2 linked regions of the Neodiprion lecontei genome follow. The protein of the gene in region 1 interacts with the protein of each later gene in a pairwise test. Links are inferred from orthologs where the notes say so. Each region holds a gene or a part of one and is shown on either strand. Other genes may lie near its edges. The genes, in order: teneurin-m and filamin-A.

Region 1 (3,928 bases):
ACAGCCCTATAAAAGTCGAACTCCAAAACAATATGGACAGGTAAGCATTACACTCCGACAAGTTAGTCGCTGGATTTTAAATTATAAAAATTTTTTAACGTGCTACGAATATTTTACTATTCTAATTTTGTGACAAATCGTCTCGAGTTACCAACCAACTTTCACGACGCTCGTACGAGGCATAAATGATGTATCTGTTTGGCAACAAGAAACACGTTGAAAAACTCAACCAAGCTTGACCCATTGTTGGGCTGGTCCTACGAAACAACAAATAATAGGTTGCCAAGTCCTTGCTGGACTTGACAACGTCATGAATCATCGGGCTTTTGGAGTTGTGGCTGTTATACGGGCTGAATGAGTCAACGTCGGTGAATGGCAATTGTCACTTTTGAATTCGAATAACGTACCGTTCCTCGCTATAAGTGTCGTTCGGTGCTTGGATTCCTCCGGCGGCGGTATACTCACCTTTCACAAGTGTCTCCTTCCCGCTTTTCCTCGGAGAGACACTTCAGAACGCGGTCAGTCCGCAAGTTCGAAAGAGTTCGGGAACATCCTCGGGTCCGTGTATCGAGGACTTTGTAACAAAGTATACAATACAGAACGTATGGGTATACATATATCCCAGTCCCAGTTTCTCTTTCGAGTTTTACACAAGCCCGAAAAGTCAGGGAAGTGTTGCCGGCGCGAAAACTGTTTGTACTACTTGAAGGCCGGCAGTGAAGTGGTCTGGCTTTGATCATCTTTATTGCGTCGCGTCGTGGCTCTGAAAACTAAGACAAACGGACCTGCCTTCTTTCGCTCGGAATCTGACTATATCTCGTTTAAATATTTTTCTTGGACTTTCGTAAGTTTTCCTTCAGGTTTCCACTTCCCCGAAGAATAATTTACGATAAAGCCTCGAGAGTCGCGCTAACTCCATTCAGGAAAAACAAGCTGGCCCAATTTTTCCCTTGTTTATCTTACTCGCACCACCACTCAACGTCCCTCGCTCGCGTTACCATCGCCACGCTAATTGCCTCCAAACAATTTCACGTTATTCACAATTCCAGAGTGACGCTACCCTACGGCCACGGTCCGTCGATGATTCCAATGAGGCGGCAGAGCTTCAGATGCCAGCTCCGCAAGGGTATCGACTGGTGCAGTTGGAAACTGATTGCCATCGTGGTGATCATGCTCTCCCTCTGTTTGACGGCAGCCCTCACCTACGTTGCAGGTAACGAGATGTTTTACAGCTGACGACACGTCAGGCAGAGCGACCCGAGTGCAGTGCGGGATACTAATTTGTCGAATGCATTTGCTTGCAGCGTCGAACATGGTGAACTGGAACCAAGGCACGAAAGCGTGCACCGTTCTCGTTGGCGAAAATACAGAATCGAAGCCGGCGAGCACAGAGCCGAACAAGACGTCGTCGAGCAGGCCGAGACAGCAATCGTCATCAGGAGGTAATAATTTAGACCCTGTTTACACCCGCAAGCGTAGAGACACACCTAACCAGCATGCCCCAGTGTTGCACCAAACTTCCCAAGCCTCAGACACGTCTGCAGAAATGCCAAAACCTTACCCAAGCACTGGTACCGGTCAGGTTGGCGTGGAATCAGCACAGCCCGAATCACCGACAACGATCTCTTTGCATGAAGATATAAGTAGGAGTGTGCATGCTGAGCTAAGTGGGCATGAAAACGTGCAGGTTAGTGGGCCGGTTTTGTCGGCGCCAAAAACGGAACCTCCAAAGTCAGGATCGTCGACCATCGGGCCAGTGCTTTATGTGAATGTCTCTAGCTCTACTAACTCTTTTCTCGATTCTGCGAACCTCACGAACACTGTCAATCCTCTTTCTCAAACTTCTTCGGAGGACCCCGATCCGAGCACAATTGCTTCGGTAGAAATCGCGCCTGAATCCGACGGATCTCAAACTGCTCATGACGACGCTGTGAGTAGGTATGCAAGCGTTGAAACGTTTGTTGATGAAAAAATTGAGGTCAGCACAGAGATTTATACAGATTGGTCAATACCCGATAACTCTGACGAAATGGAAATTCCTGGGATACCCGAAATGATACCGAAACTCGATGGGAATCCGACAACAAATGGTTCATTCTCGGACGTGGAAGTTGATAAAGGCAACGCTAGCAGCAGCGGTGATGTGGAGACGATCTATACGCCCGGTATTGATTATCCGGCATCTATTAACCTTAACGGGAACGACGAGTCGAGGTTGGATTTTGATAAGCCGCCAGAACAAAACAGTAGCGAAAATGTAGAAGATGAAGTAGATAAATCTAGTTTGGACAGTAAGCATATAGATTCAAGTAATGGTAGTTTATTCTCCGATAATGATAACGTCGGGTTTGTCAATATGTCGTTATTCCACACTGACGCTAAAGCAAACGATGAAGTTTTACCACTGGCATTACCTTTAGTAGTAACTCGGATAGATAGCGATGCTCATAGCTCAGAAGAAGAAGAAGAAGAAGAAGAAGAAGAAGAAGAAGAAGAAGAAGAAGGCGCACAGCAAGGGCCTTCCGCTGAAATTGAAGCGATAGAACCGCCGAGTAAAAAAGTTAATCGAAAAACTGATGAACGGATAAATGCGACAATTAGTCAAAATGACGAGGCGATTTTCAAAGGGTCAAACGAAACGTCAGCCGGTTTGGAAAAAGCGAAGTCTTCCGGGGTTATAAAAGAAACGAGAGAATTGTCCCGCGAAGATTCCTCGTCGGAGTTTGTTACCAGTGGAATTTCACCCGGCATTACAACCGTGCCGGAGAAATCAGAGGAGCTACAGCGGGATTATCCAGTATTTAGTTATGGCCAGGACGAAGTAAAGATAATAAAACTAGACCAGGAGAAGGTCGGGGTGACTGTGAAATCCAAGATAGCCCGCGTACCAGACCAGGAAATAAAATCCGCCTCAAACTTGGCAACTAACGAAGTAAGAATTCAGGAGGAGGAGAAGAATAATCCCGAGGTTCCAGAAATTAAACGCAAGGAGAGTCTGCAGGTTGTGAATGCTGGAAGTGAGCAGTTTGGAGATAATACGGGTAATTTGAATGGCGATGAGGACGATAGTGAGAACAGCGTTCAACACGAGCCGACGAAGCTTAGTCAGAGGTCGGACACAGTTAACAATAACTGCGATAGCTCGTTGCATGAAAAGCATGAAACTACGAAATCATCTAACGCAAACTCTGTCGCATCTAACTCAAACAGCATTCCTGAACATCCATTAACGCATCAAGTACACGTCGTAGAGGTGCCCAGAAGCGCTGAATCGCAGCGACAATCGCGACGAGTACTTGTAAACGTGACAATTTCGACGGACGATTTTGAGGGAACCGCTGATTCGAATAAAGCTTCGCGCCCGTTGTACATGTTGTCCGTATCCGTACCAACCGATGGCCAAACTAACAATTTTCCCGGAATTAACATCAGCCCAATGCAATTGTCGGGGCAACAGGCAATGTCGAGCGTTGTGGAAAACTCGCGTGCCGATGAAACTACCACCCTAATTCCACCTCCGCCCCAACCCCCGACATCACCACCTCCGAGTTGGGGTGGGGAATGCGAATGCTCGTGTCCTTGCATGGAATCTGATGAGAAGGACAAATTTTCAGACGGAATTACCTCTTTCGAAAATGCTTTATTTAACGACTCTGAGAATGACAACTTCGGTTCTTTCTACGAGGACACTGACTCATTTACCAGCTCCGAAGATTACTCCCAGAATATTAATAATTCATTTCATATAAATGGTTCGAAAGGTCTGTCAGACGTTGAGGAGTCGACGACAGAGTCTTCATTAAGTAGTATTTCGGATTTGAACCTCACTCAGTCAACGACAGAATCTTGGTTAAGTAGTACTTCGGATTTGAACTTCAGCGAGTCGACTACATACTCCTCGGAGGAGATGACTACTCAAGGTTTTTGG
Region 2 (3,928 bases), on another chromosome or scaffold:
TCAAACAGTAAACAATTTTGCTTAAATAAACAATTGTCCTTGTTCTTGCTAGCGCCGTACGGACTATTGCATCACATATCTAAATACGGAGACCGCAATCTATGCGGTCGCCGGTCAGCTTGCGGTAAGGTCGGCAAGTTAATGAAGTTCTGATAAATGTACTGAAGAGTTATTCTGTAAATTGCGAATACATGTTACGTTGGAATCGTTGTTACGTAGCAATTATAAAATATTTAGCATGTATAAAGGCTTCGATGAATGAAAACACCGTGGACCGACCACGTTTATATGAAAAAAAAACCTGTTCTGTAGCCCAACTCTATAGATTTTGGTAGAACTGTATCATTTCTGTGCACCGATAGATGCCCACATTGTGATATGCATACCGCGTTAATCTGCAGGCTTAAGATTCTTGACGATCTGCAATGCACTGAATTTTTTTGTGGTTCACGTGGCGGAAGGTGTCCGACGTCTTCATAGAATAGAGTCTTATTGTCTAACAATGAATAGCGTTATCCTGATACCCGCGTTCTTCAGGCAACTGGAATAAGGTGGCGTGTCACTTTTCTTTACATGAATATCATACAGCAATTGTTGCGCAAGCGAACCCGCAACGAGGAACCCGAGCTCAGAAACAAACTTGGAAAATAATTTCGCAATCCTATTGAGTAACAAAAATCTACTCTAAGTCACAATTTTAGAAAACATAGGCAAAAAGTATCCCTACTTTGAATTAAAATAACTCGTAAGCTAATGCTCTATTTAATCAGTTAACGCGAATATGACAGTCTATTAGCTTGATCCGACTATGTATAGACCGTTCGCATTCACGACGCCTAAAAATATGCAACCGAACTATCATACCATCCGTTTTTGTTTCGTTAAACCTTGAAAAACCTCCAGACCACACCTGATGATGCGCAACCGAACTATGGTACAATCTGGTTTTGTTTTGTTGGTCCTTTCAGATCTGCGTCGTGCTCAAAAAGATGCCAGTTTAACGGACCTCCTGTTCTATTATAAAACGACGTACAGCATGAAAAATTTTAATTTTCTATCAGACTTGATTAACTGAAAAAGATAGCATCTGCAATATATAACGGGAAGAATTTACGATATTCTGCTTTTCGTTTTCCGTTTTTTGTATATCGACCGGGAGAACAAAGATAAATAGCTGAGTCGGTTTTTTATTTTTTTTTAAACGTAAAATTGTCTCGAAATAGACCCCTGCTCACTACAGCCCACGTACAACTATCTATACGAATGTAGACAAGGTTTTTCGAGATACCAAAGAAGATTCATTCTGTCATCATAAAAATGAATTTTTCATTCTGTCGTATAATACTGCGCAAGAGCGTCTAGGTCAAAATAGAATTTCGCATCACCAGTACAGGTCTCAAATTTCGATATCAGCGGCTGTAGCGAAATTTCGCGATCCTCAGCCATGATACAGTTTAAAGCGTTGCAAAAAGCGTGCAAATGTCTAATGTTATTTAACAGAAATTAGCGACTGTCATGATTCGCTTTCATTCAGAAAAATGTATCACAAAAACCCTAGCCGCAGTGATTCTTGGAATTGAATTGATAATTTCAGTACACATATGTCCATGTGTGTTTACTATACGCAATACAACGAAACAGCGGCGAGTCGAGTTGAACAGGTGAACCAAATATTACGGGCACTTGCAAAACAAACGAATAACGTCTGGCAGCTATAAACGGTCACTCACTGCATAGTCACGTACAGTCGGTGAACTTATCAATCGTGTATGTATTGGAATACTCGGGATGATTTTACTTAAGATTGAAACACTTCTTCTGCAAAATATTACGGTAAAGAAAATATGCCGAGCTTAAAATCGAAAGGAAAATACTCAAACTGGCGTAGAGCCCATCATGATCATCATCGTGATCGTCAACAATCCGCGGTTATTTCACACTCATTCTGATAAAGAAGTTTTTTCACAAAACATGGTCGAATCTATACGAGTATCTTCTGGTCCCAATCGGGGTTAAACTTACACCTGTAAGCCAGAGTGTTTCGCAAGATTCGTTCTAAGATTTTCACCTCACCTCAACTGGTACGACTGGAAGCTGATGCTGCTGTTCTGATGAGCACTTTAAATCCAATTTCTTGAGTACCCGTCGATCGCTGTGGCTAGATAAAGACTGAAAATGTGTAAAGCTCGGCAAAGCTCGACCTGGAGGAAGTGGTCTGCTGATACGTGGGCTGGTCTCCTACGGTACGGTCAAGTTTTTGGTGAGTTCTTGAGCGGATCACTCTCTGGCGTTAACTGTCGGTATTACCAGCGCGAAAGCAGATCCAACTGAAGTTTGCCAAGAATAGAACGCCGCTCCTCGTTCTTACCCTTCAGGGACTGCGGGGATGGCTATATATACATCTATATACATATACACGACGAACGCGGTATGCCACATACAAATGGTCGGTCAGATTTTTCAACGAAAGTGTGAGTGTGAATACGTATGACTATGGGGACAAGCGAGTCAACCAGGCGCCAGCCGTGACGTACCTTCGTGGAAGGAGCCGATGCAAATCAGGGTAATTCCTTTTTGCCCGCCGCAGCGACTTCCTTGGCGCGTTTACGTTTACAATTGCGTTTCATGAATTTCTCCTACCGTTCAAGCAAGTGCAAATGAAAAGTTGCCAGGGAATGATTTTAGGCATCTGCATGAAAATTTGCGGATACTTTTTCCGCGGATTCATTCTAGCGTTTCTATTATTACGTGCAACTACTCTTTGCACGTTTATACTCTCGAAACTATATTTGAAAGCTTTGTACTATTTAGTGCTTATAGCCTGAAAAATAGTTCAAAGTCAGGCCAACTCGAAACAATGACCAAGTCTGTGACTCGCTTCTCACCAGATTCCGTGACGTCGCGATAACGCGATTCATCGCCTAATTTTAATTCTATGTTCGAGTTAAATTTGTGCCGCAGGAGGATCCAATGATTTATTTCGGTTCTTAGCGTAAACACATTGACCTAAAGCCAAAATCAGTCGTACATTCATACCCAATTCATTAACTCTCTACGATTCATTTTTTATAATAAATATTACTATTATTATTATTATTATAAATGAATAATGTATATTTTTTTATAAATATCTCAAAAGCGCTCTTCACCTACTAAAAAAATATAGCTTCATATGAATACTGTAATGCTGAATAGAACATGGTCACTTTTTAAAGTTTGTATCAGGAGTCCATGACCAGTATACCATTATATGCTCAACGACTGTAAGTATCCTACCACAATATGCTGTTCGCACTTATCGCGTCATGCTGTGTTACCTCTTTTGGTAATAGTCTACATTTGCACAATTTATATCAGCTTTATACTTGTATTATACGTATACATATACAGCAACTGTTGAATGTTATCTGCCTACCACGTTAAAGCTGACGCAACACGAATATGTGCGTGCATCTCGAGTCCCGTATACCTATAAGCTCATTGTCAAAGGTCCGAAGAAAGCCTAACTGCGCGAATTTTGGGCGAGGATATAATCTTCTAACAAATCTCGCCAATAATATCCTTCATACACAGCGGGTATATAATTCCTTATCATGTTTCTTTCAAAAGAAAGTAATCTGTCGAAAGTGTTGGATGGTTTTTTATTCCACTAGACATGCAGAGCATTTACTTATCATCTTCTTATGGTGGGGGCGACGGATGACGTGAGTGTCGGTCGATCCCCAGGGCATTACTTAGCTTCGAAAGTCGGTTGGAAATTACAAGCCCTATATGGGTATGAATGAAATGACTGCAAGCTAGTAGCGAGTCCGAGATCAGTCGCGCACACGTATACAGTACATGTTTCAACCTTCTCCTAACTTGGCATTCGAATATAATTATTGAACCCTGCTCGCTAGACGATGTTTATAAACGATTTCTACTCTAA

Evidence for each region.
Region 2: the proteins of teneurin-m (region 1) and filamin-A interact in binary tests that used the Drosophila melanogaster proteins (3 or more experiments, as listed by UniProt). The link is inferred for Neodiprion lecontei from reciprocal best matches to the Drosophila melanogaster genes Ten-m and cher.

What each region holds. Positions count from the first base shown.
Region 1 is NC_060265.1:4,840,002-4,843,929, forward strand, and holds the start of teneurin-m, read left to right. Parts: upstream 1-1,666; 5' UTR 1,667-2,029; coding exon 2,030-3,928. UniProt on the Drosophila melanogaster protein: Involved in neural development, regulating the establishment of proper connectivity within the nervous system. Acts as a homophilic and heterophilic synaptic cell adhesion molecule that drives synapse assembly.
Region 2 is NC_060264.1:36,041,839-36,045,766, reverse strand, and holds the start of filamin-A, read right to left. Parts: upstream 2,306-3,928; 5' UTR 2,074-2,305; intron 1-2,073. UniProt on the Drosophila melanogaster protein: Involved in the germline ring canal formation. May tether actin microfilament within the ovarian ring canal to the cell membrane. Contributes to actin microfilaments organization.